Styela clava: one gene and its partner. The protein of the gene in region 2 binds, or shares a complex with, the protein of the main gene of each other region. Links are inferred from orthologs where the notes say so. Each region holds a gene or a part of one and is shown on either strand. Other genes may lie near its edges. The genes, in order: integrator complex subunit 7-like and 26S proteasome complex subunit SEM1-like.

Evidence for each region.
Region 1: the proteins of 26S proteasome complex subunit SEM1-like (region 2) and integrator complex subunit 7-like are in contact, whole or in part, in a cryo-EM structure (PDB 8YJB), measured with the Homo sapiens proteins. The link is inferred for Styela clava from reciprocal best matches to the Homo sapiens genes SEM1 and INTS7. Residues at the interface, in NP_006295.1 of Homo sapiens: Ala36, His37, Val38, Trp39, Glu40, Asp41, Asn42, Trp43, Asp44, Val48, Glu49, Asp50, Phe52, Ser53, Gln55, Leu56, Arg57, Glu59, Leu60, Glu61, His63, Gly64, Tyr65, Lys66, Met67; in NP_056249.1 of Homo sapiens: Lys410, Leu413, Asn414, Val417, Leu448, His451, Cys452, Ala454, Ala455, Met458, Glu488, Val491, Thr495, Leu517, Glu518, Ser521, Asn522, Gly523, Trp524, Val526, Tyr527, Arg528, Arg531, Gln532, Arg535, Ser548, Leu549, Thr551, Gln552, Val553.

Annotation. Positions count from the first base shown.
Region 1 is NC_135253.1:7,952,825-7,969,847, reverse strand, and holds the start of integrator complex subunit 7-like, read right to left. Parts: upstream 7,979-17,023; 5' UTR 7,833-7,978; coding exon 7,778-7,832; intron 6,644-7,777; coding exon 6,514-6,643; intron 5,995-6,513; coding exon 5,848-5,994; intron 5,127-5,847; coding exon 4,942-5,126; intron 4,549-4,941; coding exon 4,478-4,548; intron 4,320-4,477; coding exon 4,191-4,319; intron 3,925-4,190; coding exon 3,790-3,924; intron 3,427-3,789; coding exon 3,321-3,426; intron 2,886-3,320; coding exon 2,653-2,885; intron 2,040-2,652; coding exon 1,981-2,039; intron 1,407-1,980; coding exon 1,305-1,406; intron 881-1,304; coding exon 763-880; intron 456-762; coding exon 309-455; intron 1-308. Other genes in the region: BLOC-1-related complex subunit 6-like, read left to right, coding at 8,620-8,967; transcription termination factor 2-like, read left to right, coding at 9,517-10,659, 10,898-10,987, 11,846-12,170, 12,620-12,707, 12,878-12,984, 13,330-13,368, 13,514-13,642, 16,688-16,850 and 1 more. UniProt on the Homo sapiens protein: Component of the integrator complex, a multiprotein complex that terminates RNA polymerase II (Pol II) transcription in the promoter-proximal region of genes.
Region 2 is NC_135260.1:14,911,242-14,927,198, forward strand, and holds 26S proteasome complex subunit SEM1-like, read right to left. Parts: upstream 7,337-15,957; 5' UTR 7,213-7,336; coding exon 6,988-7,212; 3' UTR 6,087-6,987; downstream 1-6,086. Other genes in the region: uncharacterized protein LOC120347429, read left to right, coding at 555-701; thioredoxin-like protein 1, read right to left, coding at 2,773-2,802, 3,055-3,159, 3,522-3,600, 3,989-4,149, 4,666-4,791, 5,042-5,224, 5,609-5,705, 5,953-6,047; transmembrane protein 106B-like, read left to right, coding at 10,087-10,848. UniProt on the Homo sapiens protein: Component of the 26S proteasome, a multiprotein complex involved in the ATP-dependent degradation of ubiquitinated proteins.

The DNA of each region.
Region 1 (17,023 bases), on a different chromosome or scaffold from region 2:
GACTCTTATTCGACAAGATTAAAAAAACAATGCACGGTGACTGTTCACGTCTATTTTACACCATAGCTTGTAATTTGATTTCATGGCATTTTTGTTATAATATGACATAGAACCAATCCAAGCTAGGAACATTTACCATAGATCACATTGAACTTTCTCAAAACTTCTTTGATATGACCTGAATGACACCAAAAGCAATGCAACAATATCATACTTCTATTTCAGATCGAAAGCATTGAGATAATCCATGTTAGTGAGTGTTAACCAAACTAACTACACAGAGAAAAACTAAAAATCAGAAATTATACCAGTCTAGATGCTTGTCTTGCGACTCTGTACCAAGTCCATTTATTTGCTGCAGACTCAGTATCAGTTATAATGTCAAGAATTCTTTCACCAAGGTCAGCTTCGTTGAACGATTGATTTGATAGAAACAACAATGTACATATGTGAGTCTAAAAAGACATGAATTAACATAAAAACTAAAAATATATTGTCAAACCTCGCAAATACATTTGGTGGCGGTGTTGCCTGACTCAGATTGGACAGGCAGAATAGGCTACTAATCTTTATTCTTGGTATAGCATCCTTCCTACGCACACAAAACCACTAGTGAAGTGTTTCCCAACCCGAGGTCACAGAAATGCTGTCATACTCGATCTGACAAAAATCTATGATAAACATCTATGATCTATGATGAACATTTCTATGCCTAAGTGTGAATATTTTAAAAATGGCAAACATAAAAAATAGGAATCTTACAATAACTTTCTGTAAGTTAGAAGAACTTCGTTCTGAACTATCATCCACAGTTTCAACAACATTTGACAAAAGTTCTATCAGATTTGATGAAAATTTCTTCAAAAGATCTGGCTTTTTGCTGAAGAAAAATATATAGTATCGATTTCAATAATCAAAAGATTATGGACATACAATGGAATTTACTGAACAAATGATTGAAAATCCCAACATCAAAGATGACTAAACTAAAATTAACAATAACGGGATGCACGCCACAGGTCATGTACCAATCCTTTTTATGAGATGTTTCAATATTCCAAACTAGGTTCATGTAGAAACAGTATTTTGGATGCAATATATTACACATAAATATATATCAGACACCCTTTAAATAGTAAAACATCAGTTTGGCCAGCTTAGCTCCAAAGAAGAAAAAACTTATCTACTGATCATGGTATTCTGCATTGTTGCGACTTTCGAAATGGAATGATTCATCTGTACTGCACAATTGACAACGCAAAACAGCTATTTTCTATCACTTATTTTTATTCGCGTTTTCATACCTCTTAGAAGCAATTGAAGCCAGTATTTCACATAACATTGAAGCAACATCTCCATCAGGTTGGCAATCCAATGTTAGTAAGCTCACAACAACTTCTATCAACCTGGAAATAAATTGGCAAAAGATATATTTTGGAAAAACCCCCAATCACAAATTCTTTCTCAAGTGAACATGAATTCCCATGATCTTGTTAATATATTTCTATATAACAGCTTTGTTTGAAATAAAAATGATTCAAATATAAAAACACTCATTATAGTTCAAATTGGATCCGTTGAATAATTAATATGTTTTGTAATATTTTAGAGTAGGATTCTCATATTTAAACTAGAGAAGAGACAAGCCGATAGGTCGACTTCATCATATCACTCCATTCGGTTATGGGAATCGTTGGCCAGTTATTAGTTTTCAGATGCATGAACTTGATGGTGGAGGAAGCTGTAACCGACCATCTGATACATGACTCCCAGTCCCCAAATTATGTAGTTATTGTCAATCCTTTTATTTTCCTATGCGTTTCCAATCATTTTATACTTCCTATACACGCTACGATGATTCGAACCTGCAAACCCGAGCAGAGGTGCGATGGCAAGTGTATTTCTAACACTTAACATGATGTACCAACTGCTGATTTTTAATGAAAATAAAAGAAAACAAAAAATAATAATATATATCACCTTATAACAACTTCAGCATCACAAACTTGACAAAGTTCACTAATTGCTGGAAGAACTATCTAAAATAAACAAGAACATCAGAATAAATGGCCAAAGTCAATATTATTGAAATGACAACAGGAACAAAGTAAAAGACCATTTAAAATGCCAAACATGTTGTATTGAGAGATAAAATTCCAACAATTGATTCAACTTACTAAAAAACACCCAATCACTCCTTTCAAACTGTAGTCAAAATGAATCCACATTTTTATATGCATGAAACTTACTTTGTACCAAATTCCAACTATCTTCATGAAACTGGTATTCGAAATGATTGAATCCAATAATTTATATTAGAAAAGTTTACCCTTGGAGAGTAGTATGAGTTAGAATTTTCATATTTATCCGTTAAGATAGCTTAATTGTATGGCAAACCACAGCCTCTCGTCCGATTACCAGACCATGTTAGGTGTGGGATTAATTAACCAGCTATATGTTTCAGGTGTGTGAACGTGATTAAGTCAAAATCATATTCAGGCAGTGAATTTCAATAACCCAGGTCAAAAGGATAACTCTTATTATTATTATTAACTATATATTATCTTCCCTTGGAAATAAGTACATTAAAAATTTCAGTAACCCATTTTGGATTCTAAATTCCATTCAAACGAACTCATTTGAAAGCCTTACTTCTAATGTTGATTTATCTTTAGAAGAATAATCACTAGATGGAGCAAGAATGAACAACAATGATTCTACAGCATCAGCTGACTCTTGTAATAATTCACTTTGTAAAGCAGTTGATCCTTGGTCAGATTGTGTAGCATGAGTTGCAAGCATAGCTAGTAATCTACTTGCTAATGCTGCTTGTCGTACATCTCTGTCGTAACAACATTTTCTACATAGATTGATAAGATCGCTACCTGTTTAAAAAAAGATGTTAAAAACTAAAACATTAGGACTATAATGATCCATCCCTAGCATAGGGTTTTCAAATTTTAAAACTTTTATTGAAAAACAAAAACAGGCACATAAAAATGAAAACACAAATTTTCGACAAGATAATTATTTACCGCCAAAAAGGCCTTTGCCATAATAGCTGTGCCTAAAACGACATGCCCAATTAGTCACTCAAACAGATTTATTATAGTCTTGTAATGTTTGCCCTAAACCTAGTAGTTTAGTGAGTGGTTGCTTACATAGAGACTTGCTTACGCCAAAGACCAAGTAAATTAAATAATTATTTGTAAATTTTGAATTCAACTTTAGTTGAATAATTCTAATGATGACAATAAAATCAATTAGTTAGAGGGCACTTCAGATATCATTATCAACAGGATATATAAAACAATATTTACCATCGCTAAGATTCAAGTGTAACACTGTATTGCCACTAGCCAATGTACAAAGTACTTGAAGTATAGCTCCTTTTAATGACGATTGCATTGCTGACAATGAATAAGCCTGAAAAAAGAAATCAAAATGCTTATACCCACACAATAAAAGCATCAATGGAATTGTATAAAAATGTCTATTCTGTGCTAAATGCGCATAAATATTATTTGAATATCTATATCAAAAACATTATCTACAAAGTTAAATTAAAACAATAATAAATGAGCACTAAGAATCATGACAAGATAGAATAATTTTAATAATGAAACTGCTTCAAGCGCTAAACAGCATTTATTGGCATGTTATGCATCACCATAATTCTATACAGTTTCAGTATTTTCTTGGAATTCCAGTGTTCACCATTCACTTTACTTAGAGATAAGTCTTCTCTACATCTAAGCAAGTATGTGTGTCTCTGAGAACGAAAGCTACCTTGCAAAGTTCATTAGTGTCTTCTATTGACCAAAGATGTGGGCCAGACTTAGCAAGCATATTCAAATTTTGTAGAGTGACAGTTTTAACTGCTTCTCTTGGATCACATCTCAAATATTGCAGAAGAAGGGAAACCTGAAAATATATATCAATGCATAAATTATATGAATTTAATTTGACAGCAATAAAAATTGTTAGTTAGTTGGTGTAGTCTATACTAGCTTCTTCGTGTAGCCGCTGGTCACTAGTCAACCAAAGAAAAAAGTTTCGAATCATCTAATCATGCAAATAATTCCAATTGATCTAAAACACTAGTCTTCCAGACAGTCTATCTAGATATCAATTTAAAAAAGCAAGCTAGTCAGGTATACAACCAGAAGTTGCTTACTTGGTATTCTTACCTGTGATGGAACATCAACTAAAGAATGCATTGATAAGCTTGTCAATGTGTTTAAAGTTGTCACAACAAAATCTTGTGCAGGATAGGCAGGCAACAAATCTTTCAAGACAGCTCTTGATTTTGATGAAACCTTACGAGAATAACATTAAACAAAGGTAATACAACATTACACAAAACTAAATATTAGGAAAAAATTGTCTTTGATTGTGGTGATTATAACACCTGTTACATTTCGGCCACTTTCCAGCATGAACTGTGTATTATTGAAAATATTTATGAGAAATATACCTGGACATCATAATGCATATGCTGAAGAACCGGAATTAACTTCAGTTTAATTTCAAGCGGTGTTGACAGCCCTGTGAAGTAGTAAATTTTTAAGGAGTTTCAAAACCAAACATGGTAATACATAGGGGCTAAATAATTAGCTACAATATAATATGAGAGATTTGATTGGTCGACTTTAACATGAACTGTTTCATGCCTTCACTCCATACAAGGCTGTTCACAAGCAATCTTTTATTAGATAATGTGATCTCATACCCAGCATCTTTCCTGATGTGGAAATCAGATAATCAATGCTGAACTTAGAAAATCTAAACTTTAAATACAGAAACAATGATAAAATGAACATCCATTTTTTAATAGGAATATTTAGTTTGAGTCATAAAACTGATGGATAAAAAATACATCAATTTGGAATGTTCTAAACACTATATAGATATCCATGTATGATAGTTGACAGCACATACCCTGTAACATTGTTGCAATCTTATTGCAAATACTTGTAGCAAATTCCCCCGAATGTGAAGCAAATTGAATAGTTGCATATATTGCAGCTTCCTGCTCAACACGATCATGCGAATCCAAACCTTGTCTTATACTGTGGTGAACACTTTTTTCATCACTTATTATACAAGCAATACTGCCCAGCATCCTGAAAAATTACCAAGTCATTAACAGCTACCGGTAATTGAAATTGGCTAATTCAAATCTCATCTCACCCCCCACGCACACACACATCTACACCAGGGTGATTGACAGGGGTCCACCAGGGTGATTAACAGGGGTGTAGCCAGAAATTTTCATGGGGGGGGTTCTGAAATTTTTATTTGGCAAGTTAGATCGAAACAGCTAGCGGGACTAATCGACTCTAGAATACGCGTGTTTTTATTAGTCTTGAGGGTCTAAAAAGCATTTAAAGCTACGAAAAATTGCTATCTATGATACAGAAAAAAGATTTTATTTTTTTTACATTTCAAAAGGGGGGTTTCGACCCGCAAAACCACCCCTCTGGCTACGCCACTGGTAATTGATCAGGCAATTACAAGTCAGAAAGATCCCGGTCCTCCCAAATATTGTTAGAGATCAGTGGCAGCTCGTAAAGAGCCTTGCTAAGAGCGAACAAAGTGTGTGAGCATCATATTAAATAAAATAAAAAATGAGTAGTGAAATATAAGTAGTTAGCATGATGAAATACATTTGGTAAGGAATATAATTGTATTGATCCAGCTTTCGAAATAGGCCTACTAATGGTTCACAATGAATAGATTAAGATCCTAATTGCAACAAAAATGAACAAAAAAAAAATATTGAGATTGTATGCGATAGTCGGTCTGGTAGAACAAGGTTGAGGAACTCATTTTTAGAAAACCAACCTTAAAGTTATTGCTCTTGCATATGGATCATTGCTATGAATAACTACAGAAATTCTTCTTCTAAATTCTGTTATGTTGAGAATTTTATCAAGATGTTTATTGCTTTGCTGAGACACTCGAAGTATACAAAGACGAAGAAAATTATTCCTGAAAAAATAATTTGTCAGTTTGTCGATGTTTAAAAACCGAGAATTTCTATCCATAAGTATATACATAAAAATGATCGCTGCGATTTGTTCGAACTAACAAAAACTGTACCTACTTCGTGACAAATATGCTTTTAGAGAAATGATAAAAACCCTAATGTTTTATTAATCAAGATTCAAACTGAAAACCTGAATACGACAATAGATTGACTGCGCTTCATCTAACATCAAGTATCAAAATACGATGCTTGAGGGAAATATATGAAGAGATTCAGTTATAGTAGGCCTATATATATAAATACATATGTTGATTTACACATGTCAAATAAAATTGCTACACATTTCATAATTCTTCATGACTGTATCAGTGCATACCTATTTTCATTACTTCAAATGCTTGATCATCATTAATAAAAAAGGCTGCTTTACGCTACCGTTTTTACTAACACAATTAGTCTATAGCCTTAACCAAATTTATTTTTAAGAAATATTCATTTCTGATAAGGAATCTGATGTTTACCCAACACGAAACACATCTGCCAGCTTCAAGAATGCAGAGTTGATAAGAATTGGGAATGGAAATCTCTCAAATAATCCAGGAAATCGAACAATTGCTTCACATTGCTGGCCAACTTTTTGAGCACGAAGACCTTTGAAAGAATATTGAATAAAATAATATTTGAATATCAGGATACTGTGGTACTGTTATATAAGTATAAGTATAAGTTTATTTCGACTCCATAATCAGCAAAACAATAAAATGAATGCTAAAAATAAATAAATAAAAACTGATTATGAAATCAGGAGAGCGAACAAAACCTTAGATAAGGTTTAAAACGTACAGAATGTATATAAGATGGAAGGTTTTGCCAAGAAGATGTGGTACGTGTTCACTCACCTAAAATAATTGAAATATTTCACACACGCTCACACGCACCCACACACACAACCATATAGAAGTTATTAAGTAAAGGGAACATGAAAAATTACATACTGGTAGTTAATAAAAAATAAATAAATAAAAATTACTTGCCACACCATATGTTATGTTACATAAATTAAAAGATAGCAAAAATTCATGGCTCGGCGGTGTGGCGCTTCGTGCTAAGCATTACTGATATGCTCTGATTGCTCTGCGTGGATTCTCAGGTTCGAATCTTGCGGGGGATGGAATGGTGGTCGGTACAGCTTCCTCCACCATCAAGTTCATGCATCGAAAAACGAATACCTGACTGACTAATCCCATATTCGACATGGACTGGTAACCGAACGGGAGGCTGTGGTTCATCAATGGATTAAGCCGTTTTATTGACTTTGCTCTCCCCCAGGATAAATAAGTAAATCCTATCCTATATCTAACTCTTTACACTTACCAGTCTGCCAGTGAATTGCTAATATAGGACAGTAGGAACAGACTATTTTTGCACAGAAACAAGTAAAATAACTCCATATACTGATATACCCGGTACTGATATACTGATATATATACTATTTTCAATATTGTGTAAATGGTCATACAGTCACAAGTGAGATTGCCCATGTTATGTATCCATTATTCTATTTTGTTACATAAACATAAATCAAAACAATCCAAAACGTAAGCATACAAACAGTAGGCAAATATATTAACAATAGAATTTTACTTTTATGCCATGTTAAAACCTTATTATGCCATTTTTTGTACGATGGCGAGTTCAAATAAATTATTTTATGTTATTTATTTGTTCATATGTTGTATTCATTGTACTACTGACCTAAGAGTAGATTATTACAAGCAGGCTTACCTTTATCAAGTTCCATGAGCGCCGAGTTGGCATCTTGATTTTGTTCGTCCATCATGATTGACTTATGATTTGTAATGATAGGCAGACGCCAAAATATTCAAAGGAAAAGAGGAAGCCTGTTTACAGAATGGCTAGCGAAATGCGATGTGCTAAGTAGATCCTCTCGCCACGAGCAATCGTCTTGAGTGAAGTCATGCGTGCAGGTATCGTGAAATCACGTGTTATAATTGAAAGAGAAAAAAAGGGTGATCGTTCTCTTCGCGGGGGAATTCGGTTTGCGTATTCCATAATACTGTAATACGTACCGTAATACACTTGGGGAGGAATCCTTGGCATGGTTATGTTGAGCATAATTCAGTGATTTGGGGTTCATTATCGTCGACATATTATTATTATTCTGTGACATCGTCGTCCATAAACTTCCGGATTTTTTTGGTACACTCTCTGCATTTGAAACGCGATATCAGGATACTGGGATATGTGCTAAGTTAAAATTATCACGAGGATATAGCCTATTTCTGTATTTGAATATGGATAGCAAAAGTATGATTGCATAGTTTGCTGCAATGCATAAATTTGTCACTGAAGCACATTGTACAGGGCAGCTCTCTGCCTATGATTGGTGATGTAAAAATATTGTAAGAAATTGAAAAGTCTTAGAACAAACTTTTGTGCAATGAATAATTCATATCTGTTCCAGTTCACAATAATATCTGAATATGTGATGTAAAACTGTAATAGAGTAATGCCAGCTGTGTCTGTTCAATAGTTGCAGATTATTTCAGTATATACATATTTGTTTGGTACTTCAGTAGGCTACTGTAACAAACCAATGTTGCAATATGTCTGGTTTGAATGATGACTTTCCTGCGATTGATAGCACTGTACTGGATGATCTTGAACGGCAAACAGAAAAACTCTCTAACAGCCTTGGCAATATAGTTAAGAAACTGACTAATAAACTACACGAGACATCAGCAATTACTGTGGCTAATTCACAAACATATAGCAGTGCAATTGAAGCTATGGGAGTTGAGATTGATGACTCAATGAAATCGATGTACATGCTGATTGCTCATTGTGAGGAACTTGATAAAGCAATGGTTCCTGTGTATAAAGTTGGTCAAAGCATCAAAAAAATTCAAAATTCTCTGCTGATGCTAGAAGCTCAAGTTGCTCAAATACCATGATTACAGTTTTTTTTTATTCAGACTAGGAATCTTATGTATTAGTTTATGAGTCTTCGATAAAGTAATAATAACTAATTCTTAATATAAAATAATAAATATAGAATCATTTTGTTTTGACATTCAAATTTTTTTTTTATTTCAAAAAATTCCAAATTTTACATTATTGTTATGAATTGTGAAATACAATAATATACTGCTGTACTGATATACTGCTTATATATTTAATCAAATGAAACATGTCTATTCAAGTGTTATATTACATCAAAGCCATTTTTAATAGGCATTTCTATTTGCAGATTTCAACAAGTAATATTAACTAATTTGTAATTTCTATGCAAGTGTTAGGACAGAATTATGCATTTTATTGTTTTACCTAAGTTTTATTATTTATTTTCGATGGTTTGAATTTGTTTTTGCTTTGTTTGATTATTTAGGGTTGAGCCTGATTATTAATCTATTTATTTAACTTCGAATAATATTAAAAATATTAATTTGGTTTTACATCTGACAATGCTTTGATCTCAGTTTCAGTATTGTATTATATTCCTAATGGCCGAGGTAAGTTCCAGTAATTCAAACGATCATTCCCACAATCGTAAGGCTTTGACTGTAGGAACAAGATATTGTGGAACTGTCACAGTTTATAAAGAAGATAAAGGATATGGATTTTTTTCGGTCCCTAATCACGATAATGTATTTTTTCATATGACGACAATGCGAAATTGTGGTATTACATCAGGAATATCGAGGGGTGATAAATTTTGCTTCGATGTTAAAGAACACATTGGTCGTGATAGTAAACTGGATTTTAGAGCAGAAGCAGTTACAAGACTTGAACGAAATCATCAAATGCAGAACCAGGATAGCAGGAAACAACCTCACAAGCATGATAAACACCAACATGGCACGTATAGTAATGGTAACTCCGGAGCATTCGTTTCGATCCCACATCCTCATGATGTCAAAGTTCACGGTAAAAAAGAGGTTTCTTCGAAACATGGTGAAATAGTTGAAAAAAATTTGTACAGAGAAAAGCACGAACGGAGACCAAAACCGAAGCCTATAGATTTAAGCTCAGGAAAAATTCGTGTTGGTCCCCCATGCGTTGTTCCTGCAATGAGGAAAGGGCCAATTGTAGTCTCTGCCACTGGGCCTAATTCTGCTGGAATGGCCCCAAGACTAGAGGATCCTGAAGTTGTGAGACTGAAAGAGAACATTGGTAAGAAAAAAACACTTTTTCGCAGTTTAAAACTAGATAAACTTCCAGATGGTGGTAGAAGACTGAAAGATGAAATAAACAATTTGGAACTTGAACTGCAAAAATTATCCATGAAAAGCAAAAATAAAGATAAAAGTCATGATTCAACTCCTTCAAAACTCATTGACAAAGAGAATCAACTACCTCTTTCAAACGCTGATGCAATGCCTAAGCATACACGACCATGGTTAGAGTCATATTCAAGAAAGCCTGATGCTCAAGGTGCTGTAATGATAGCACCTCCTATGGCTTTTAACTCTGCTCCTGATAGGAAACTTACTCAAACAAAACTTACGTTCCCAAAAGCGGAACCATTTGGGGCGAGAACAGGAAAATTAGATCTTAGTGCATATGATATGGGTCCAATGCAATTTAACGATGGTCCGTTATATGGAGGAAGAATGACAAGTGCTCGTCTGACTGAAGTCCGTCAGGTAATATATTATACCATAGTTGTACTTCTAATCTTCTTGAGAATATTTCATATTGTAATCTAAAATTTAAAAGCTTAGCTTTTTATTATCGTTTTTCATTCAGTCAGCTGGTCAGCATTTTTATTGCCTAAATGTTTAAAATTATTCATACCCTAATTTTGGGTAGTATTTACTATTTAGTATCCGAGATATAACCAAATATTGAAATGAGTTTCATGATTATTATTATTATTCCCAGATAACAAAGGCTGCAATTGAGGACCTTCACAAGTCTCTGGAAACGAGACCTGAACCCACAGGAGAACTGGATGATCCTGAAGGCCTGAAGGTTAGATAAATGAATTCCATCAAAAGATGTATGCAAGTGTGGTCCATATAAAAACATTTCTTGATACTTGGTCATCTTCTAAGATTGAGTAAGAAAATGCAGTTTTGTGTAAACGCTAGGGCTGGGAATTTCAGGGAAACACCTCAGCATGACGTTTGACATAATAATTTATAATATTAACTTGTTACGTCACAATGGCTGCAAAGTAATTTCAGGTGGTCTTATCCCAGTATCAATCAAAATTATTCATGAAGCGAGATAGTTTCATGATTGCTCTTCTGCAAAATGATATGCAGCATGCTTTGCACATATGGAAGTATTTTAGTAAAACCCGATTCCATTATTAAATGTTATTTATGTGACAAATTTTCAGTGTTTGATGTGCAAATTCTATTTTGAGATACCATAAGAAAAACAGCATTACCTGCACACTTGTTGGATGACATTAAGTAGGCCTATATGATTTTGCAATAAAATTGTGAACTATAATATAGGCTACTTCGACCGAAAACTGATTCTGAATTTATCATTGTCAAATTTTCATAATCAGCAATATTTTTTTGAATTAAAATGCCGCAGAAGATAAATTTGCGATGACGTAATCATTTTTAAAAAATAGTACATTATAAAGAGGATTTGTACCCAAGATGTCAGTCAACGGTTAAAATAAATCAGGACCTCCTGAAGTATACGCACCAAGATGGCCCACAACCTGAACTCAGGTTGTGTACCAGGTTAGGGTTCAGGTTGTGCGACATCTTGGTGCGCATACTTCAGGAGTACCATAAATTATAACCATGAACGGTGAACCAAAACGTATATTGCACATATACTGAAATAAACCCTGTTTCTCTACAGGTAACATTAATGACCCATCAACGACAAGCACTTGCTTGGTTAGTGTGGAGAGAACAACAATCTATGTCTGGTGGAATTCTGGCTGATGATATGGGTCTTGGCAAAACTCTTACGATGATCTGTCTTATATTGAAACAAAGAGAATTGTCTGATGAAAACAAAGACACTAAAATCCAGATTAAAGAAGAGGATGACATCAAAGACTTTAATAGCTCAAGTGAATCAGACGATTCTGTTATTTTAATTGAAAATGAGAAAACTGAATCAAAAATCAAACGGGAAGTTAAAGGTGGCAGTAAAGAAGAAAGTGACATTGGTGAAACAGGTAATTGGATTTGTTTTTTGAAGCATGGTTGATTTACAATTGTAAGCTTTAGTATACATTCCACATTTTAAAAAAAAGAGCACACACCCAGGATAACTTTTTTATTTGAAGCTCTGAAATAATATAGATATACCGCAAATAAGTTATTTAGTTTCAAACTCATTCGGTATAATTAACATCTATCTGCTGTACAGTGATAGTAACAAAAAATTATTTATGAAATCATTCTATGTCTCTAATAAAACTTCTAAAGGACTGTTCTACAGTAGCAGTACTTCTCATAAAAATATACTCATATTGCGTATCTGCGTTGAAATTCCTAACATAATTTTGCTAATACTGGAATGAAATTTTTAGAAAATTTATTCTGAAACTCATAATTGAACTGTGTGAATCATAACTCTTCTTTTTTGTCCTTTTGCTGTTCATCTCGGTTGTTTCTTTTTCAGAAAAAACTCCATTGATTGAGAGTGATTCAACTTTAATTATAGCTCCAGCATCTCTACTCTTTCATTGGGAAAAAGAAATTCGTAACAGGTCTTGTAACTTTCAAGTACCGGCATTTGGTGTATGAATGATAAATCTTTCATTGCTTATTATATTTTTTTAATATTATCCGAATGGTATGATAGGAAGTATCGATTAGAATATTATTGGAAATTATTTCAATTACTCTATATACAGTAACTAGTATTTGTATCATGTAGGTGTGATAAAGGTCTTCTCAGTATTCATCTATTTCATGGAAGTTCCAGGGAGAAAGAACCTTCAAGACTTGCTGAATTTGATGTAATTATTACAACTTATGATATAGGTAGGAAGATGTCTATGTAATTTCTACTTGAGGATATACTGGTAGGGAAATGTAATTACAATTGTCCAAAAATGCCTCATGCTAACAGCTGTCATTGAATTACAACTAGAAAATTATTTAAAAGCACGGCCCTTATTAACATTGGTTTGATCTGTAGTAATTCACCACGTATTGCCTTAAAAACGTATTGCCACTGGAGCAAATTTGCAAGCAAATATAATCAGTGGATAAGATTATTGGCGATATATTTGCCAAGTTAATATTTTTTATATATTTTCATAATATATACCGCTCGGTATGTATTTTTCTAATTTTGAACTAAAGTCAATACTTCTTCTGTTACAGTGCGACGATGTTTATCAGCAAAAGCTGAAGAAAAGAAAGGTTAGAAACTTATATACTCTAAACTTAAAAATTTTCCATATAACTTACAAGATTAAATTCTTCATTAGGCCTAATGTCGTGCTTTAGCGGTTGAACACTGAATATAAGATTATTGATAAACTTTCCCAACTATTTATATTGACAGAAAATACACTCATGCAAATCAAATGGAATCGTATAATACTTGACGAAGCACATCAGATTAAAAATTTTAAAAGCCAATCATCTGAAGCTGCATGTAAATTGGAAGCAAAGTCAAGATGGGCAATGTCTGGTAATATTTACTTATTTTATAATGATAAAGTTTGGATTAAAGTTTGCTTATATTTGGAAATGTCTCATTTGAAGAGTTCGGGTACTCTTGATGTTCACTGATATGGTTGTAATAGCACTGGTATCAAGATTTATAATTTTATATAATGGTATATTAAATTTAATTGGGAATGTATTGTTAAATGCATAACTTGGGCGGTGGTTAGAAATCAGAATTTCTGTTCTAGATTCAAACTATTCTTTGCCACCAGTTTCGCAGCAGTATTAGTCAAAACTATAAACCTTTTACCTAAATATTAGAGAATAATATATATATATATTGAAAAAAATATTTCACAATAAACTGAATAGATGGTTAGGAGGTGATGCCACTGACATTTCTGGTAGCCCCGGCTCTAGCTTCACCTCTTAGAGCGAGCTTCAGCTTTCCAGCCTAGTGGGAAAAAGGCTTATTTATAAGAATCTTCTCTTGTTTCACTGTATGGCTTTAGTGTAAGACTTTGGAGGATAGGAATATGTAGTTTTCCTAACCATAGCCAATTTATTTCACTCTCAATGTGTATGTGGTGTGCCTGTACTCAAGATTTTTAACATACAAGTACTCGTAGTCAGGGGCGGACACTTTCCATAATTTTGGGGGGGCGAACTTGGATCGCCTACCGGAAAAACACCGCGCCGTGTATCGTCACGTCACAATAACCTGTCGATGTCATTCTCTAAGTACTAGCATGCCATTTCGCTACTCATATATCGAGTACCTAGGCTGCTTTGCTCGGACACGGAACTTGCGCGTTACTGAACCAATTTCTTGAATTCCGCGAGAATTAGCCCACTGCTCTTGCTAACAAACAGAAAATACCAAATTTGAGGAGTCGTATTAGGTTATTGTTTCAATTCCTAGTTCTGCATAAAGCGCACTAACGCCGTTTCGTAAAATTAGAAATGCAAAACAAGGTAACAAGCTATTGTGCGAATTTTTTTCCTAAATTTTACCAAGGAATTATCATTTGAGTAGTAGAATTGCCATTATTGCCGATTTATTAAATCATCATTTAAACTCGAAATACCATTCAGTATTCACGCAATGACTTTGTAGGGTTTTTATTTATAATTTAATACGAAAATAAACAGGCACAAGTTCAGGCGCGCAGCCAGGATTTAAAAAAAAGGCGGGGGGGGGGTAAAAGTCGGAACTTCCCATTGCCGTCTGCAACAAGCACCGCGATTACGCGCTCGTTAAAAGAGCCGCCTATTTAAGAGTATAATGATTTTTCTTTTGATCCATGACAGCCACGAGATTCTAAAATGTTCTTATATATTAATTTAATAGTGTGCAACGTAACTCGCGGTTGCGACTTCTTACGTCAAAAAAATATAAAAATTAACTAAAGTACTACGGCGATATGTGGACATAAAAATATGAGATAAGCTGCCTGATGTATTTAATTTTTATACCTATTTTTGCAATCTTCCGAACTCGTTATCGCCGTTACAAAAATATCGATATCTGATATAAAATCCCATATAGTACCATTTTAATTAATACAATGAAAATAATTATAAAGTATACTAGTAAATCAAAAATACAAATTCACCGCCTCGAAATCCACGCGGAACAGTCGCCGCGATTACGCCACTTGTTAAAAGAGCCGACTTTATCAACGAAAAATGATTTTTCCCTTGTGCAAAGTAATCAATCAAAGACCGATACGGGCAAATTCAAAATGTCTTGATTTATTAATTTAATTGTCTTCAATTTAAACTGCGGCTGAGTCGACAAAACAAGAGCCACTCTAAAACACAACGGCAATCCGCGGACATAAAAATGTGTGGTAAACTGCCCGTTTGTATATTGTTTTGATCCGTATTTTTGCTATTTTGCGAATTCGATAAATTTGAGATGTACTTGTCACACTGGCTCCACTCAATCGCAATGTTGTCACTCCGATTATTTTTAAAGATAAAACTCTTCGAAAAATCCCTAAATTTTCTGTCAATTCTCACGTAGTAGAAGTTATTTCAGTACAATAAAAATACATAAAATAAATACAAAAAGTGATCGATTATACTTTAATTATCTTATATATCATCACAAACCGGGGAAAAGTCGCGTTCCCAGCTTTGTTTGTTAACACGAAAATTTTCGACGTCAATTTAAAAGTAATGGGTAAAAAGGCAAATCCCGCTCACAATTGACCGTGTTTCGATTTTAGTGACGAAATGTTTTTAAAAGTCAAGCAAACATAATTTGTGCCGTAGGCACACGAAATTTTGCGATTTTTGATGCCTAGAAAAGCGTTTTTAGACTGTCGCGGGCCTCAACAAAACTTTGTTGATTGTTTACAGTTTTAATTTTAGTATTTTATATTGCCGCTTCTTAACTTTTCGACATAGTAAATGCTTTGATCTTTGCCCGCAAATTATGTTGGGCCTTGCACGAAATCCAGAACGTGAAAAGATACGTCCAGCGGTGAAAATTGTACTTAACAACTTTAGATCTAGTTAATATTTTAGCGATAATAATTAATTGTTGTAATGAAACACAGTTTGCCTCTTTCACTTCTCTCGCAAGTGCCAACAATAACACTATTGAAAGATTTTGACAATGAGAAAATCATATTAAATTGTACAAAAATGAATTAGTTGTGCAAAACCGTGGCGCGTGATCGGCGGTGCGTTTGAAGACGGAGTATTACCCGTGTGGGCGCGCATGTTTTACGAAAATGTGAGGTGCTCCAAGGCGCTCTGGTCCACATTATTGTAAGAAAACAGTTATAATATCGGTAACTATCAACCGTTTAATTGCGCTTGACTCTCGCACTTTTCGGAAATGATAATTTTGTAGGGCGGAAACAACATGTATTAAATTTTTTTACGAAATTATTGGGGGGGCGACCGCCCCCCCTCGCCCCCCGGGTGTCCGCCCCTGCTCGTAGTGTAAACTATCTGGCCATCACCGACATGATTTATTAAACTTACCAATATCAAAGATGGGAATGTCGAATTTAGTTGTACAGGAAATTAAAATGTATATCATTCCATTTAGGTACTCCAGTACAAAATAATCTTACAGACATGTATGCAATGTTAAAATTTTTACACTGTCGACCATTCGATGAATATAAGGTTTGGAAACATCAAGTAGATAATAAAACAACCAATGGAAAAGAGAGATTGAAGACATTGGTTTCATGCATCGTTTTGAGAAGGTATTTTTTATTGGCCGAGTGCCTTTATGATTTTAGGATTGGGTATAGTTTAGGTTTGAAACATTGTATTTATTTACCAACATTGCACTAATCAATTCTTTCTAATAACTTTTCTTTAAACTTTTTTATAATGGATTTAGAGAGAAATCACAAAGCGATACATTTGGAAAACC
Region 2 (15,957 bases):
TTGCAAATGAAATTTGTCGATACCATGTATAGTCTGCTCCTACAGGTGTATGGAATGAAGTAAAAACTTTTTATAAACACTAATTAAAATAAAACAAATCCAGCGGTAGTTAGATATATTTCGAACTGACTTCGTAACAAAATTGAATTGTAACAGAACTTTATGAAGACCCTTTATAATCTACACACAAAAATAGTTGATATATGACTTTCAAAGTTTAAAATTCTTTTAAATGGTGCAATGGCTTTTTTGTCTTTATTCTGGTCTAGATCAGTCTACTGAAACCAATGAATTATTACCATGAAATTAGGGTCCGATTTTTTAAAGTTCAACACTAAATTTCATGTTGCAGGTATACTTTGGATTTTGGAATAAAGCGTGTCCTTTTATACAATCCAATTGGGAAATTTTTTTCATGCGAGCTTGTGTTCTCCTCTCATTAATGAAATATAATCATAGAACTAAAATAAATATACAAATGTGCCACAATGTATCTTTATCTTATGCCATTCTTATCTAATGTATTTTAAAAGCAAACAATTTCTCATGTTTAGGTTGAATGTACTTGCTGTAAACCTGTTACAGTCGAGAATAGACAAGTCTCAATGAACTGCAACAATGGAACAGTGGTTATTGTCAATGTACCAAAGATTACAGAATGTTCATGTAATGAATGTGAATACAATCCTTTCGCACCCTAAACAGGTAAATTTTATTCTGTTTTTAGCAAATAATTTTCAAGATGACAGGCTGCAAGACATTACATTGATGCCTAATAAAAGAGACATGTATTGTAGATAATTGGGTCAACTGACAAATAATTTAGGAAATCGTTGTCTAAGACCTAGGTTGACAATCCGATTATGTCAAATTTTTAGTGACCAATTTCTGTTTATAATTTTTTTTTAGGAAATATCAGGTTGCACTTTACAATGAATTTTGAGAAGCTCGTTTAATTATAGAAATATATCATATGGCGAACTTCCTATTTTCGACAATATATCAAATTTTAAAACTCTAATTAATTTTTGACAGATTATCTTCGAATAACTGACCGACCAATCGAAGATCGACCATGAAAACCGTTGTACATAAACCATTTTATTTTTTTCTTCGCATCGCACATATATTCCCATTATTAGCATTATCACTTTCATTGCATATGTAGCAATATCTTACTTCAAGAAGCACTTACTTTCTGGACTTGTTCTCTACCACAAATGAATATTTCTAACAACATAATTTATTTCATGGATTTACAAGTCTATGATTGTTAATTATACCCACTGTATCACTTTAGTGTCGAAACGCCTATAACTTTTGGCCGACAGGTGCAATAACTTCAATAGAAACATGTTTTTGTTATTCTTCTAGTTCACAATGCTCTATCGCTTTAATAAATCTTTCTGCATAAAGTTGTGTGAATATTTGATGGTTATGACAGGTGGTAAAGCATGATAATGCCGTTTCTCATGTAATATGTCAAAGACGCATTTGACATATTCTATTAGAGCTTGGAGTGGGATTAGCGTTCCTCCCATGAAACAAAAAACAGTGACGTCTACCTGAATGGACCTGATCTCGCACAGCTTTAAGAGAAGCTTCAGAACAATCACACCATTCAGTTTGTAATACAATTACAAGAAAATTGAATATTCGAGATCGAATCGCAAAGTATTCAATCGTTTTTAGGCTAATTTGCGAATCGCTGAGAGGAGGTGTCATGAAACTAGCTTCTATTTTGTGACCTCCATAAATGCAATTTTAAATTCCTTGGGCAACAGTTTTATTTATATTAATGGTTGTTTATCATTTTGCCAAAAATTACACGAAAAACCTTGCGAGTTAAGACTAATGATATCAGGGTTAAAATAGCACCTACAGGCTTTGCATGCCCTATTAAAACTTAATCCATCAGAATTGAGTAAATAAGGTATTGAGTGAGAATATGGGCAACTCGAACAGTTTTCGGAATGACTTGACGGTTATAAAAATTCTTTTAACCAGAAGCAATAATTGTGTGACAGTGGTAGTCATCCAAGTTGTAATCCTGTAGAAGCACTTGTGAAGGTAACCTATTCAACAATTAGGCTTTGACAAAAAAGAATTGCACAGAATGTATTTATATATTTTACATTTTATTAAATTAGGCTTGTGGTGTTCAAGAGACATAACTACATACAATTTTGCACAATTGATAATTTTCATCTTGGAAATATGATGAAAAACATGAAATAAGCAGCAATCTTGTTCCATCAGAGTCAGTTTAAGCAATATATATATATAAATCAGTTCCAATTAATCCACCAGTGCACCAACACAAACTTGGCAACTTGGTACATATAAATGGGCATCAGACCAAATGTAGGTTTTACTCCAATGAGAATACTATGAAATCAGACGCAACATTCCTGATATTTTGGAATTCACATTGTTTAACATGGAGATATAAGAATTTATCCTCCTCTACAAGGCTGAATTATGAATATTCAAAAACTTATATTTTCGTTGTAGTGAATGATTGAATTTTGGCTTCACTTCTCTGTCGAACACCATCATTTGATAAGTTGGCTTCAATGTCAGCAAACCCAGAAAATATGAATACGAGAAAAAAGTCATAAAATCCTAATGGAATGCAAACAAATTAATCATTTTAATCCTGAGTTGCCATCTCAATATTTGATTAAAGTGTTCCAACATCAAATAGTATTTTCTACAGTATAAATTCAGTATTACAAAAATTCTTCTTTTGAAACTTTCCAATGATGACAATCAATGAGATTCGCCCTCTTTTCCAGCAACCTTAAAGAGTACATTGATATAGCGGTCAGAAAACCACAATTAGGGTCTCCGAAAAAAAGGACCCAATGGCCCATAATCTGACATATATGATATTTGGGGTCACTCTTTACAATATGAAGTCGGATTTTATTATAATATCAATTTTTTTTAAATTTTCATAGATTATTCAATACCTAGTCCTATTTATCCTATCCTAAGTAAAAATCAATGAAATAAATTTTGATCAGATTTGATAAAGCAAAAAAAATTTACCCTCTTGAATTCAGACATATTTGTTGTTGCAACTGTTTTTCCTATCAAAGTGAGTTTCTCTATTTTAGTCGTTTCTTCATCTCCTTGATTATCGGGAATAAATATCTAAAAACAACTATTTTATAAGACAGAAGGCCTACCTAATTCATTACACTATGGGTGAGCTGGGGTGGGGCTTTAGACCCAAGATTTTTCACCTATAGAACCAGAATAGTTAGGATCAACATTACGACCACTGGGCTATCTATAGTTCAACCTAGTGCAGCCTCAATGCACAAAAATTCAGAACTCTTTTCGCCTTAACATAGGCTACCCAATTTTTGACTCTGCAAATATGGCCTTACATAAGTATTAATAAAAAGATCTCATTCGGAGATGCCACATAGGCCCAATAAATACATTAATCACCATTTCCCTCAAAAAAGTTCCCTCTGGAAAGCGAAAATACATAGAAAAAATGCACTTACTGTTAAATTGTGTACATTCTGAAACTTGACAAATCTGAGATTGATTAAACCATTCTCCGAAATGTCATCTTTTGTGAGACTGAAATATAGTTTAAAATAGAAGTTAGATTTACATATTAATTTCTTGCAGGCCTCAGCAAATCTTTCATGGAAGAAGTCCAAATTGAGGTCAAGATTTATACATTTTCTATGCTTGGCAAATAGAGCATTACCTCACAGAGAAGCATAATTTGGATTTTCAGATCGAGAAGAATAAAGCATAATATGATTTCAAATTTATATTGAAAGTTTTTGAAAAATGTCAAGTTTTTTTGTGTAAATCCACATAACATGTCTATTGGAAATGCTTCACCAGCAGAGATGCTAATGTATGCAACAAAAACAAAACATGAGACTTGGAAAAATTTTACTTCAAATTAGTCAAAAACTCATTGATAAAGTTTACTATACTCATACTTTGAACTAACCTAAATTCCTGGATAGGTTTTCCATCTCGCGCAGAATCAAAATCCATATTATGAGGTTGATTTATGAATAACCTCAATGTTTTCGGACCAAAATCATGTGGAGCCACCAGTTTTAACGAGTGCAGTTTGATATTCTGATTAAATTCGACTGATATAAGAAGCTGAAATAGAATGACAGTTGAAAAATAACAGGTTGTGTTTAAAAAATTTAAACCAAACAAATAAAGTGCATTGAATATTGGATTCAAACTTAATTATATAAAACTTTAATACAGGAGGGCCAGATACAACTAACTGGGTGGAACCGCGGCCCGCATCTTTATTCAAAATAGGCTTTCTGGTAGTTGCAGCCTGCAGGCACAAAAACTTTTGTCATTGATCTTATAAAATGTGATGTTTGCTTCACACAAGCTCAGATATAGGCTTTGCAACACAAAGAAATTGGAAATGCTCACACATACCAGATTGAATTAAATTAAAACTTGTTTCACGGGCCGCACATCATTCAAAATTGGCACTCTTTTTTCCTTGAGGGCTGCATTTGGCCCGCGGGTCGCAGATTGTACACACATGCATTAAATTCATGAGTTCAGGCATAATTAAGAACAGCCTCATTTAAAAATTCCTCATTTTTTGAGTAATTGGAGTCTCACAGTATGAACAAGAGCATTTGATACCTCCGGATCACAGTCTGATTCCAAATACAAATCTGAGTTTTCTTCGAAGATATACTTGACAGTATGGTCATCACTTTCATTGAGACAAGTTAGTTGAGATATATTAACTTGTGATAACAAATCAACCTGAAATAAAGAGATTAATTTGCAAATAACTATATTTGATATTAATTGGTGTTGTCACAGTATTTAAACAAATTTGAATTTGTTATTAGTATTATTATTTAAGTCGATGAGCTGACAGAACCACAGCCTCCCCCATCCTGTTATCAGTCCAAGTCAGATATATAATTATTTTTTTTTAATTTTGCCTACAACATAAGTTTTTTAGGCTTTGGTTCAAATTAAAAACAAAGCAACAGATAGTGCTTCTTACCATGCCAGGAATCCCAACACTTGATTCTGAACTTGATCCATTTGCTGAAGAATCGAGTGATAATTCATGAACCTTGTTTCGCAATTCCTCAGCCTTAGCTCCTTGTATTTTATGAAGTGTTGTTTCGTTACGAATGAATAGAAATGTTGGCATAGCTCTAACACCATAGATTGTTTTGGTTTCCTGCAAAAAAAAACATTTTATACAATCATTAATCTATACATGATAAAAATATTCATAGCTAGTAATTAACTGGATGGTAAATTGTTACATCCAAAAATGGCTAAGTAATAAATAAAAGACTAATGACAATAACTATCCATTTAAAATGACTTTTTGCTCATAAAAACATAATATTAGAAATAATACAGACAAATTGAATAGTCGTTTGACTTATACCAGTGTTTGACTGGTTTATTAAATAAACGTATTCATCAATCAGCCTATTCATCTACCCACTCTTATTATACATCATTAAACACAATTTTGAACAAACTTACTATCATAATATCATGCCCAATGTTAAATGAATCAGAAAATAATAAATACAGTAAACAAAAATATTACAAAACATTTGTCAACATCAACTTTAAGAAATACAACTCCTTCATATTGATTTGATAATTCTTCAAATACTGGAGCAATAGCGTGACAGGGTCCACACCTTTAAAAATAAAAAAGATTATAATCGTTCTACAACATAACACTGCACACAACACTAATGAGGTTCTTATCACTTTATCTGTATGCCACTCGGAAAATATATTACATACATAAATGTTCTAACAACTAAATTTTATCAATTTGATAATATACCAGTAACTCAGACTTCAGAGACAAATTCGATAATTCAAAAATAAACGATTACATATTCAAATGTAATATCTACTATCTATATCTGAAAGACTTACCATGTAGCAAAAAAATCTATGACAACGAGGGATGAACCAGCATCGTTAAAACTGAGTTGAAATGCTGCGTCGTTATCTATATGTTGTACAGGCATTTTCTATCAATTTAGGTATTTGATTATTAAACAATTCGACTGGGAAAAACAAACAACGATTAGCTTTCACACATTTCTCAAAGGGTCAACATTTTATAACAAAACAGAGGACACTCTTTTTTATTAAACATAAATTAACCAACCAGAACATCTGCAGAATTTCATAGCTGATTATATCCAACAATTATTCTGGCAATGAGAATATTTTAGATCAATCTGATATCAAACAAAACCATGAAATGCAATATTTCATATGACGAAAATTGACTAAATAATAGTTACTTGTTCATTGAACATTGAGACAATCTACATTGAATCGAATGTTAACAGCATTCATCACACATTACTAGTGGAAAAAAGTAACATTATGAAGAGCATCTACGTCCAATTTGTAAATAAATGTCAGTCATCATTCAGAGTTACAATTCCCACCAGAATAACTCAAATTTCATATTATACAATGTGTAAATTGCAAGCCAAATGAAAGTCTAGATATAAAAATTGGTGATGTAGGTAGATTTACCTTTCAAATGTTATAGCATATCATATTTACTTTTCAGGCATGGTTTCAGTGCAGGGTACCACAAATAACTCATGATGAAAATAAAATTCAGACACAACTTCATTATAACAAACTTATCCACTGCAAAAAATCTTGTGGTGTACCTATAAATATTTATAGACAAAACACTCCTAACACTCGATTACGCCTAACTTAAATAAAAATTGAAAACAGAAGTTAATCCTTAAATTCAACAAAAAATATACACATGTGGACTTTGTATTGCATGTGTAAGTTCAGAAGGTGGTTTAATTACTGAATTATAAAACGAACAAATTGTCCAAATCAATACCAATAAAGAAAATTCCATTTCATCATCAAGTACCAATGTTAAGCAATATACATTGTATTGTTCAATATTTGCCGTTGATGATAAAATTATGACTTGACTTTCTGGCCGGATTTTTCTAAAATAGCTTTTAATTGTGATGAAAAGTCATCTTCTATATTATCATCATCCCAGTTTTCATCCCAAAATACTTTTGGTTCTTTGTCTTTCCCGGTCCATTCTTCCGCAGGAAATTCTTCAAATTCGTCATCATCTTCTAATGATCCTAGTTCAGTGACTGGCTTTTGTTCATCTTTCTTGTCTTTGTCAGCCATTTATCTCGAAGAATTGAATACTTTTTAAAGAATAAGTTTTATTACTATAATAGGATTTGATAAATCGATAGTAAAGGTTAGGTAAAAAGATGAAAAAGGGGCACACTACTGCACTAAGCATAGGTTTATACTAATATATATTCCTGTAAAACCTTTCATCTCATACGGTATTCAGTATATTTTGAACGATACTTACAGACTTAAGGTTTGTTTACCGGTACTCACCTGATTCTAATACTAATTAAAGAGTGGAAATAATTTTATACTTATACTACACTTATTATCCAATCCATTATCCAGTTTGTTACCGGTATGCAGGTATGATTATAAGATTTTTGAGTTGTTATTACAGTATTAAAATCACAAATTTACAAAAGTTACACAAGAAAAAAATAACAAAAAAATGAATATCGGTATTTCTCACTATTATTATTAAATTACGAGGCATTATAGGTAATCTTATCTTACAATATTCTTACAGTTTTCACGCGCCGTGCGGCTTTTATTTTTCATTTATTTTTTTTAATGAAAAATAACAAATAAAATAATATCAAAAAGAATTACCAACAGTATATTATTAATATGTTATACATGTTATTCAAATCTCCATTCTGCCTTATGATTTTCGAGCAACTTTCATCCCGGACATTCGCACATACATTGTGAACATGACATAGCATGAGTAAGCATAATAATACACGACACTCACTGAACTCTGCTGCCATATAGCGAATGTATAAAATATCGTAAATATTTCTTTATTTATTTATCAACAGAAACAAAAGAAAATCAGGTGATTGATATTTCGCCAACCCTTCTGCATTGCGTGCGTACCGTGTCCGTATCCCTTTCTTCATCTCCGAGTTCAGGCGTAGTATTGGTACAGGTATGGGTACCGTTCTTCTGTACTGGGAGGTTGCACGGCTTAATCTTCAGATTTTTTTTTTTCTATCATAAAGTTTAAAAGTGTACAATCTTCAGACTCATGAGTAATACTAATAGAGTGTCTGAGCAATTAGCGACATGTGTCATTGCGAGCAGCCAGGCATGTCATTACTAAGTTAGCCCTTTTTAATATTTGAACTCTAATGCATTTGTGCTTTGCTTTTGTTTGTTGGCATCTATTATTAAATTTGGCATATAAAATAACTGGTTGAAATTGAAGTAAGGTCTATAAAACAGCTTAATCTTGTTTTGAACTGTCGCCTCGTCTCACAGCCTCGTCAGAAATGAAAAAATTTACTATAACAAATACCGTAGATCAGCGGTTCCCAAACTATGGACCCACTGGTGGGTCGCAAGAAAAATCTCAGTGGGTAGTGAAAAGATGTAGAAAGCTTTGATTAATCATACTGGTTGGTTATTAGCAGTGTTCCCTCTAAGGTGTGCGCGTGCACACAGGACAGCTTTCAGAGGCTGCGCACACGCATAGATTTACTGCACACAGACGTATTTCGATGTAATGTAACAATGTTCTCGATTGGCAGGTTGAGAAAGTTTGTTGTTGGCCCACTTATTACCCGGTTAGAACACCAAAATTTCTTCATTGGTTTTTGCACAAATATTATTCATTTCCAAAAAAGTGCGCACACACCAAAATTTCTGCGCACACATACTACAAAAAATTAGAGGGAACATTGGTTATTAGGATCGGTGACAAAGCAAATTTTGGAATAAACTGCAACTTTTTAATTTTCACGTCTAAAACTATCTGAAATCGAAATAAATATCAAGTCTATTATGGAAAATAGCAAAAAACAAGCTCATCTTTCTCACTAGCTTCACTGAAAATTCAATTTGAGAAAATAAATTTGTTTACTCCATCAATGTTTTATTAATTTATTAAAGTTAAATGGGTCGCCATAAGCTGTGGTAAAAAATAGTGGGTCCCAACTCTAAAAAGTTTTGGAACCACTGCCGTAGATAGCTTATTTTGAAAACTCCATAATACACCTACCGTAAATAAAAAATAAAGAATTCTGGAGAGGGAGCAAAACCTTTAAAAAAGTTTAAAACATGAGAAATATCATGTGCCAGCCCACGGCACACACAAAAAAATTACAAAAAACACAAACCTGGTTAAACGAGGCTTGGGACAGAAATAAACAAACAAAAGATACACGAATGTTTGAACTTTCGGACTGTTATACTTTTAAAACCCTCAGTAATGATGACTTTGTTTAGTGCCTTAATTTAAATGTCTTGGAAGAATGGAAATGTATATTCAATTTATAATCTTCTTGAAACTTACAATGTTCACTTATACAGCAATATACAGATATATGTTGTAAATAAAAGTTATATTTATTTTGCCCCATCCCTCAGTGATATTGCGATAAACCGAAGATCTTCGGGATCAAATGTAAATCTTGACAACTATTAACATTTTTCCAATTCCTCGAAATAATTTTACAATATGATCTGTTGATCATTACAAAATAAAACCCTCAACACCAGATTACTCTACAGCCTACATTTCTAATTTCAGCATCTCTGTGTATTAAGACTAAAGAAAAAAATAAACAAAAGGATGCATATCTTTAAAAAATGAATTGTGTGTGAGTATGCAGACATGTCTCCCTTTAATGAATGTTTGTATGTTGATCCTTTCAATAAACCATTATCTGCAATACTTTTTTTCGTTAATTTTTTTTTGTCTTTACATCTTGTGAATGTTCTGTTTCGTACTGCAGTCGGACTGCTGTCAGTCTGTCAATGTAGCATGCAAGACGGACCAGCTTTTATAATTGAAGTATTGTTTAATAATTTTTTAAGCCTTCAATCCAAATCCATTCTATACTTCTTTTCAAAGATTGATGTTGTAATAGCCGAATAAATTGGTCTCTAACTCTAATGGGATGAAATAAAGTGAATATGGGTAGCATCATCAGCTCAAACACTAAAAATAATAGTGAATATACTACAGATGGAAATGTAAATGCTACACCTGGCGAAAGAGATTTTGGATATATAGAGTTCGATGGAAGTGATGGCAAAACTTGCCCCACTTGTCAAGGCACGGGGCGAATTTCTAGACGTCAAGAAGATGAACTTGTGGCCCTAATTCCATATCATGACAAAAGACTAAAACCTCGCAGAACAACAATGTATGTTATGTTGGCCATCATTGTGTGCTTGATAATATGTGGACTTATACTGTTCTTCATTCTACCAAGATCTGTCAAAATAACAGAAGGAAAAATTGCGAACTACTCGGTGAATATAAACACCAATTTGTCATCCACGGTTATTATAGCTACCAACCAGTATAACATTACAAACACCAACTATTTTCACGTACAAATTACAAAAATTTCAGTTGAAGCATTTTTTGATCAAGTGCAAGTTGGCACTGGGAAGTTGAAGCACGGCCCTGTGGTTGTACCCCCATTAACAAACAACTTTCCTGTCAATATAACTGTTCAAATGACATTTGATAAAACTAATCAGTTAGACTTTATGAGTAGTTTGTGTACTAATGATAAGCGACGAGTGCATGATATTGTGATTAAATTTCAAGCAACACAAACGTCAAAGTATCTTTCCCATACTGAACAGGATACAATATCCTCATATAAGTACATAGATTGCAGTCCTACTCCCCCACCTCCTAAAGCTAAGAATAAGAAACCTTAATTGTCCAATTCATAATAATATTGGTACATCATTATTTTCCCATGAATTTCACTTTTCATTGTAACTCGTCTTGATATATGTATTCTGATGTCTCGCATTGATGTCATTCTTCTTATATTATTTTTTTTATCAATTTTGTGATAGGAAGTTAGTAAAATGATATACTTTGTATGCTTCAAACATTTACACCTACATTAGATTATTAGGATTTATTAACGGTGTAATAGGATTCTGAATATCTGACAAGACTGGTGCAATAATATATTTGTAGGCATGGTGGTTAAGTATTTCATATTATTGATCATTTTCAAGATTCAAACCATTTCAACTTAATTTCACCAAATAGCTCAAAACCACTTCTGATAGTGTAACTTTAATAGATATTTAAGTAGCCATTTATTTGATAAACCTTGGCCCTGTATTTTCTATTACAAGAGTAAAAAATAAAACATTAGTATGAATAGTTAATGTAATATTAATTTTGAAGCAATGTTCAATATGGCGGCAAACAAAAGCAGGAAGTTATCTGCATTACTTCATGGAGCCTTTATATTGATCAAGTGTTTGGATCTCTATTCTGATATCATGAACAATATGTTACACATGTATTGAATATCATGTAGAAATCTGCATGCAATGGTTAATTCTGTATTCACAGGTGTATCGATCTCTCTTTTTTTTTCCTCAAAAAGTTACCAGATATGCCTAATATTTTTTCATTTTGTTTTCATTAGCGTGTAATTTATGTCTCATTCTTACTGCCAAGGCGTTAGGGATCACTGCTTTGCTTGGAAGCATAATTTTGTGTAGTCAAATCAAATTGTCAGTAGTAAAACATTAGACATATTATATACTACATTTAGCTGCCTCATCAATGCATCGCTGCTGGGTATGTGGTATCATAACACTGCAGTAAAATATATCAAATTCAAATATCCAAGTCAAAAAAATTATGCAGTATTCGGCCTATGGTTCAAATTTTATATATTAATAACAGGAAATAATTTATTTAGAATGTGTCTTTATAAATTGTAATTCATGGAACATCGGTCTTATAGGTCTATTTAATCTATTTTTATAGTCATTTTTGGGATGTGTCAAATAATTCACCCAATAGTACTTTACAGACTATTCCAATTTAATAAATGACTGTAGTTTGAATGCCATTTTGCTGTAGCGAATTTTAATATCTTCTGATAGTCATTGTAAAAGCATTTTTATTCTGATAGTCATTGTAAAAGCATTTTTATTGTATTTATTATTCTCGATTGGCCCATATCTTTGTTACAGCAATCAGTACTTATTACTTAATATTAGTACATTAATTGCGATTACCTGGTATTTTCCAAGATCAATTTGTACTCAAATATCTTGATTGGTAAATACTACTAATTGGCATTTCTGCATAATCGGTGCTGTGATATTTGATCATAAGTAACATTCTGATGTACCATCTCATTATCTTTTTTTTTGTATTTTTGCTTGATAAGATGTGCATTTTTTGGACGTGAAGGACAGATAATCAGTTAACACTGTGATATAAGTAATGATACACTATGTTGGGGGAAGTCGATTTGTAAATAAGTTGTCCAGCTATTCATTGTCCAGAGAGAGGTATATACTACTTCAGCTTATCTCCAGAAAAAGATTTATGCACATTGTCATTACATTTACGTCAACTTGATTATTGTTAGTTCTAAATTTGTCAAACATTCGTGTGGATATTTTTATTAGCTTGCCTTGAACGTACATGAGAGAGTTTATTTATTTTTTATGTTACGGAAATGTCATTGTTGAATAACAACCATACTTTGAAAAATATCAGATGCTTGAATGTATGTTATCAACCTCACCGTATAAAATCATCAAACGAGACTGGCATCTTTAGTTTTAGGACCAGAATGGTGCTTGGGTTGTCACGTAAGCAATTCGCTATATGGCCACACTACCATATTATCTAGTGGCCGTTTCTTGTCATTCATGGGATGGAATGCATTCGTCTGACGCTAACGAAGTATAAACGCAATAATGCGCTTATTCTATTGAGTCACATTCGATATCAGACATCTCCAAGTGTCTTTCAATTGCAGTCAAAAATTGCGTCCAGTACGTTAATTTTCCTCACTTCTTGGTAGTTTCTTGGATGGAGAGAGTTCACACGCTCGTCAAACCAGAAAACAATGCGAATATGTATCAATAAAATTTAACAATAGGACCTTAAGATCTTCAGAGTCTGTTATCACCAAAACACGAGTACAAAAATAGTTGAACAGGTTCAAAAATCTAATATATATCATGAACGTATCAAAACTGCGAAAGACTAAGAAGTGCATTGGACGATTATAGTTGGGCCGTTTCCGTCATCTTTTTCAATAACTATTTTGGAATCTCCCTAATCTGAGATGCGACTTCATATTTGAGGTTACGAATCTTCTCACTATGAAAGTGTTTTGAAATATCTAGAACATAGGTTTTCAAAGTGCTCCGTACGGAGCCCCAGGGCTCCGCGAGAGTAACCCAGGGGCTCCGCGAGCTATTCGATTACTTTTCAAAATACTGACTTGGCTAATTTAAAACTGTTCCTAGAAGCAATACTAGCTTTGATGAAATTTGACAAATATGGCCTCGAAATATGGCAAAGGGGCGGAATTAAAAAATGACATTATTTATAAGCAGGAGTGCAGCCAGGATTCTTAAGAGGGAGGAGGTTCAAAATTGAAATCGGAAATTTACGCGCAACATTCTTGACGATTCAAAAAAAACGGATAACGAGATCTCTGTTGCGTAAAATATTCAATTCATGACCGATGCGAGCATCTAAAGGGTCTTGTAATGATTTAATTGTGCTCATCGTTACTCACATTCGATTCGAAATTACTATTAGGATTACTAAAATGATAAAATACTAGTCTAAAATAACATAAACTGCGTGATAAACTGCTAACTATAAATAAAATGGAGTCGTATTTTTGCGATCTTGGGATTTGTTAAACTTTATTTGTTCTTTCGCACTCGAGATTATTTTTAAGCAAGATGTCGCCGTTTGAAAAATCACAAGGTCTTGGCAAAATACGAACGATAGAAATTTATTTTAGTGCATGCGGCTCTGTCGGTAGTTTCAGAAAGGAAAAATGGTACATCGCACGCATAATTAAATGACTGTGTTTCAATTTCGCAGTTACTACGATGAATAACCGAAAACCTAACATAACACCAAATTTTATGATTTTCGATGTCTGTAACAGCGTTTTTATTCTGACGTGAGTCTGCTGAAACAAAACTTATAGTGTTATCTTCCATTTTAAGTTTTAGTTCTAATATTTTAGAAGGCCGCTTTTTAATCAAGAAATTTGAATTGCAGATTTACCTCTTTATTAACTATTATTTATAGCATTTCGTCGCCGATGATTATAATATGGTAACATGTTTTTCACATTGAACTCATAATTCCCCACGAGAAAGAAAAAGCAATTATCGTCGTCATTGTGGAACAAACATGCATATGCCGAAGGAAATTTTTTATTTAGGGAGAATAAACACCGGCGTAAAGATGTTTGAGGTTCAAAAACACGCCATGCTGACGAAAACAATCGGCGATTGTAACAAAATGCAATCGCGCACGTTATTAGCAGCCTTTTAAGTCTTCCAAAAATGTCAAGAGGGGAAAAGATTCGACCCCTAATTTATTAATATGTTTGTCATGTGTCAAATTTATAGCTTTAGTATATTATACAATTTATCTTTGAAATTTAGATTTATTTATGACTTGTATTAACCCTATTAAAAGTGTTTAGTATTTAAATTGGGTAAAGTACGTTTAACTTACTCAGGAATATTAATCAGAAAGTAACAATTTTAACATTTATTTTGGGGCTCCGTGAATAATAGTCAACCTTTTCAAGGGCTCCGCAACGCCAAAAGTTTGAGAACCCCTGATTCTAGAATATTATAATATAATGTAACAAAATTGAGGTACATATTACCCAATACTCGTATGGTATGCACAAAAATTTGATCAGTGTAAAGAACATTGAGATAATATTAAAGAATCTAGTGGAAAGAGATCAATCAGATTCGCATAGTCACAAAAATCAAGTGCGGATATGCTAGCACGTGAATATTGTTTGCTTAGCCATGTTAACAAAATATCTGTTGTTGAAATAAGAGCGTTGGTGACCCGAACACATTCTTCGTATACAACATGTTCGTAGGAATAATGCGTCATCCCGTGCTTGTTTTCGCGTGACCAAGTGACAATCACGAGACCTGTAACATTTGTAATAGCGGTAAATCATTTACAAAATCGCCAGCAATGGCTCGCCGTTTCGAACATTTTTCATCTTTTGGGTACCTTCATTGTTGTTATCCCCCAGACGGCCATTTACACATAAATTCGATTGCACTAATTTTCAAACGAAATACCAAAGGTTTGAGTGAAGGTCAATCGAGCGCGTGTGGAATGCTGACATTTCAATGGTTTACGTTTCTAACACTCTTCTATCGTTGTTGAATTTAGCTAGCGCTTCTGGCGCAACCTTTCTCCCATTTCCCGCTCATCCGGCAATCTCGAACTCCTCGCCATCCGACGATCAATGGCTTTCATTTGGATTTCTCCCCCTCACGCAATCATATTTTTTTACTAAGCCCCTACTAATCCGTTCGAATGTCGGAAGGAGAAAGTTAACCCCAGCTGGCCGTAAGTCATTATTTTAGGGCTTTTTATTAACAATAATTAAAAATTAGGTTTTATTTATTGCGTTCAGCCTCTATATATTCTGAAAATTAAGTTATTCAAGTCAGAACCCACACGCATGAACATTTCTAAACAGTCGATGAACATAGGCCGTGTTTCCTTGTTTCACTTGTTCTTTATCATTTACTGGACTTCACATTGACTTGTAACCTAAACAGAAAACAATCATAATTTTCTTTGTGAGCAGTCCGGCCTTGCAGTCTCGTCCGCACCTTCCGATTATATTTTTGTTTTATGATCATTATTTCTGTACTACAATTTAACGGTATTCAGAAATAAATTCCTGTATTTTCTATGTTAGAACTATATGTATTGAATGTGCCACGATGAGAATCATGCGTTGTTCACGTTCTTGA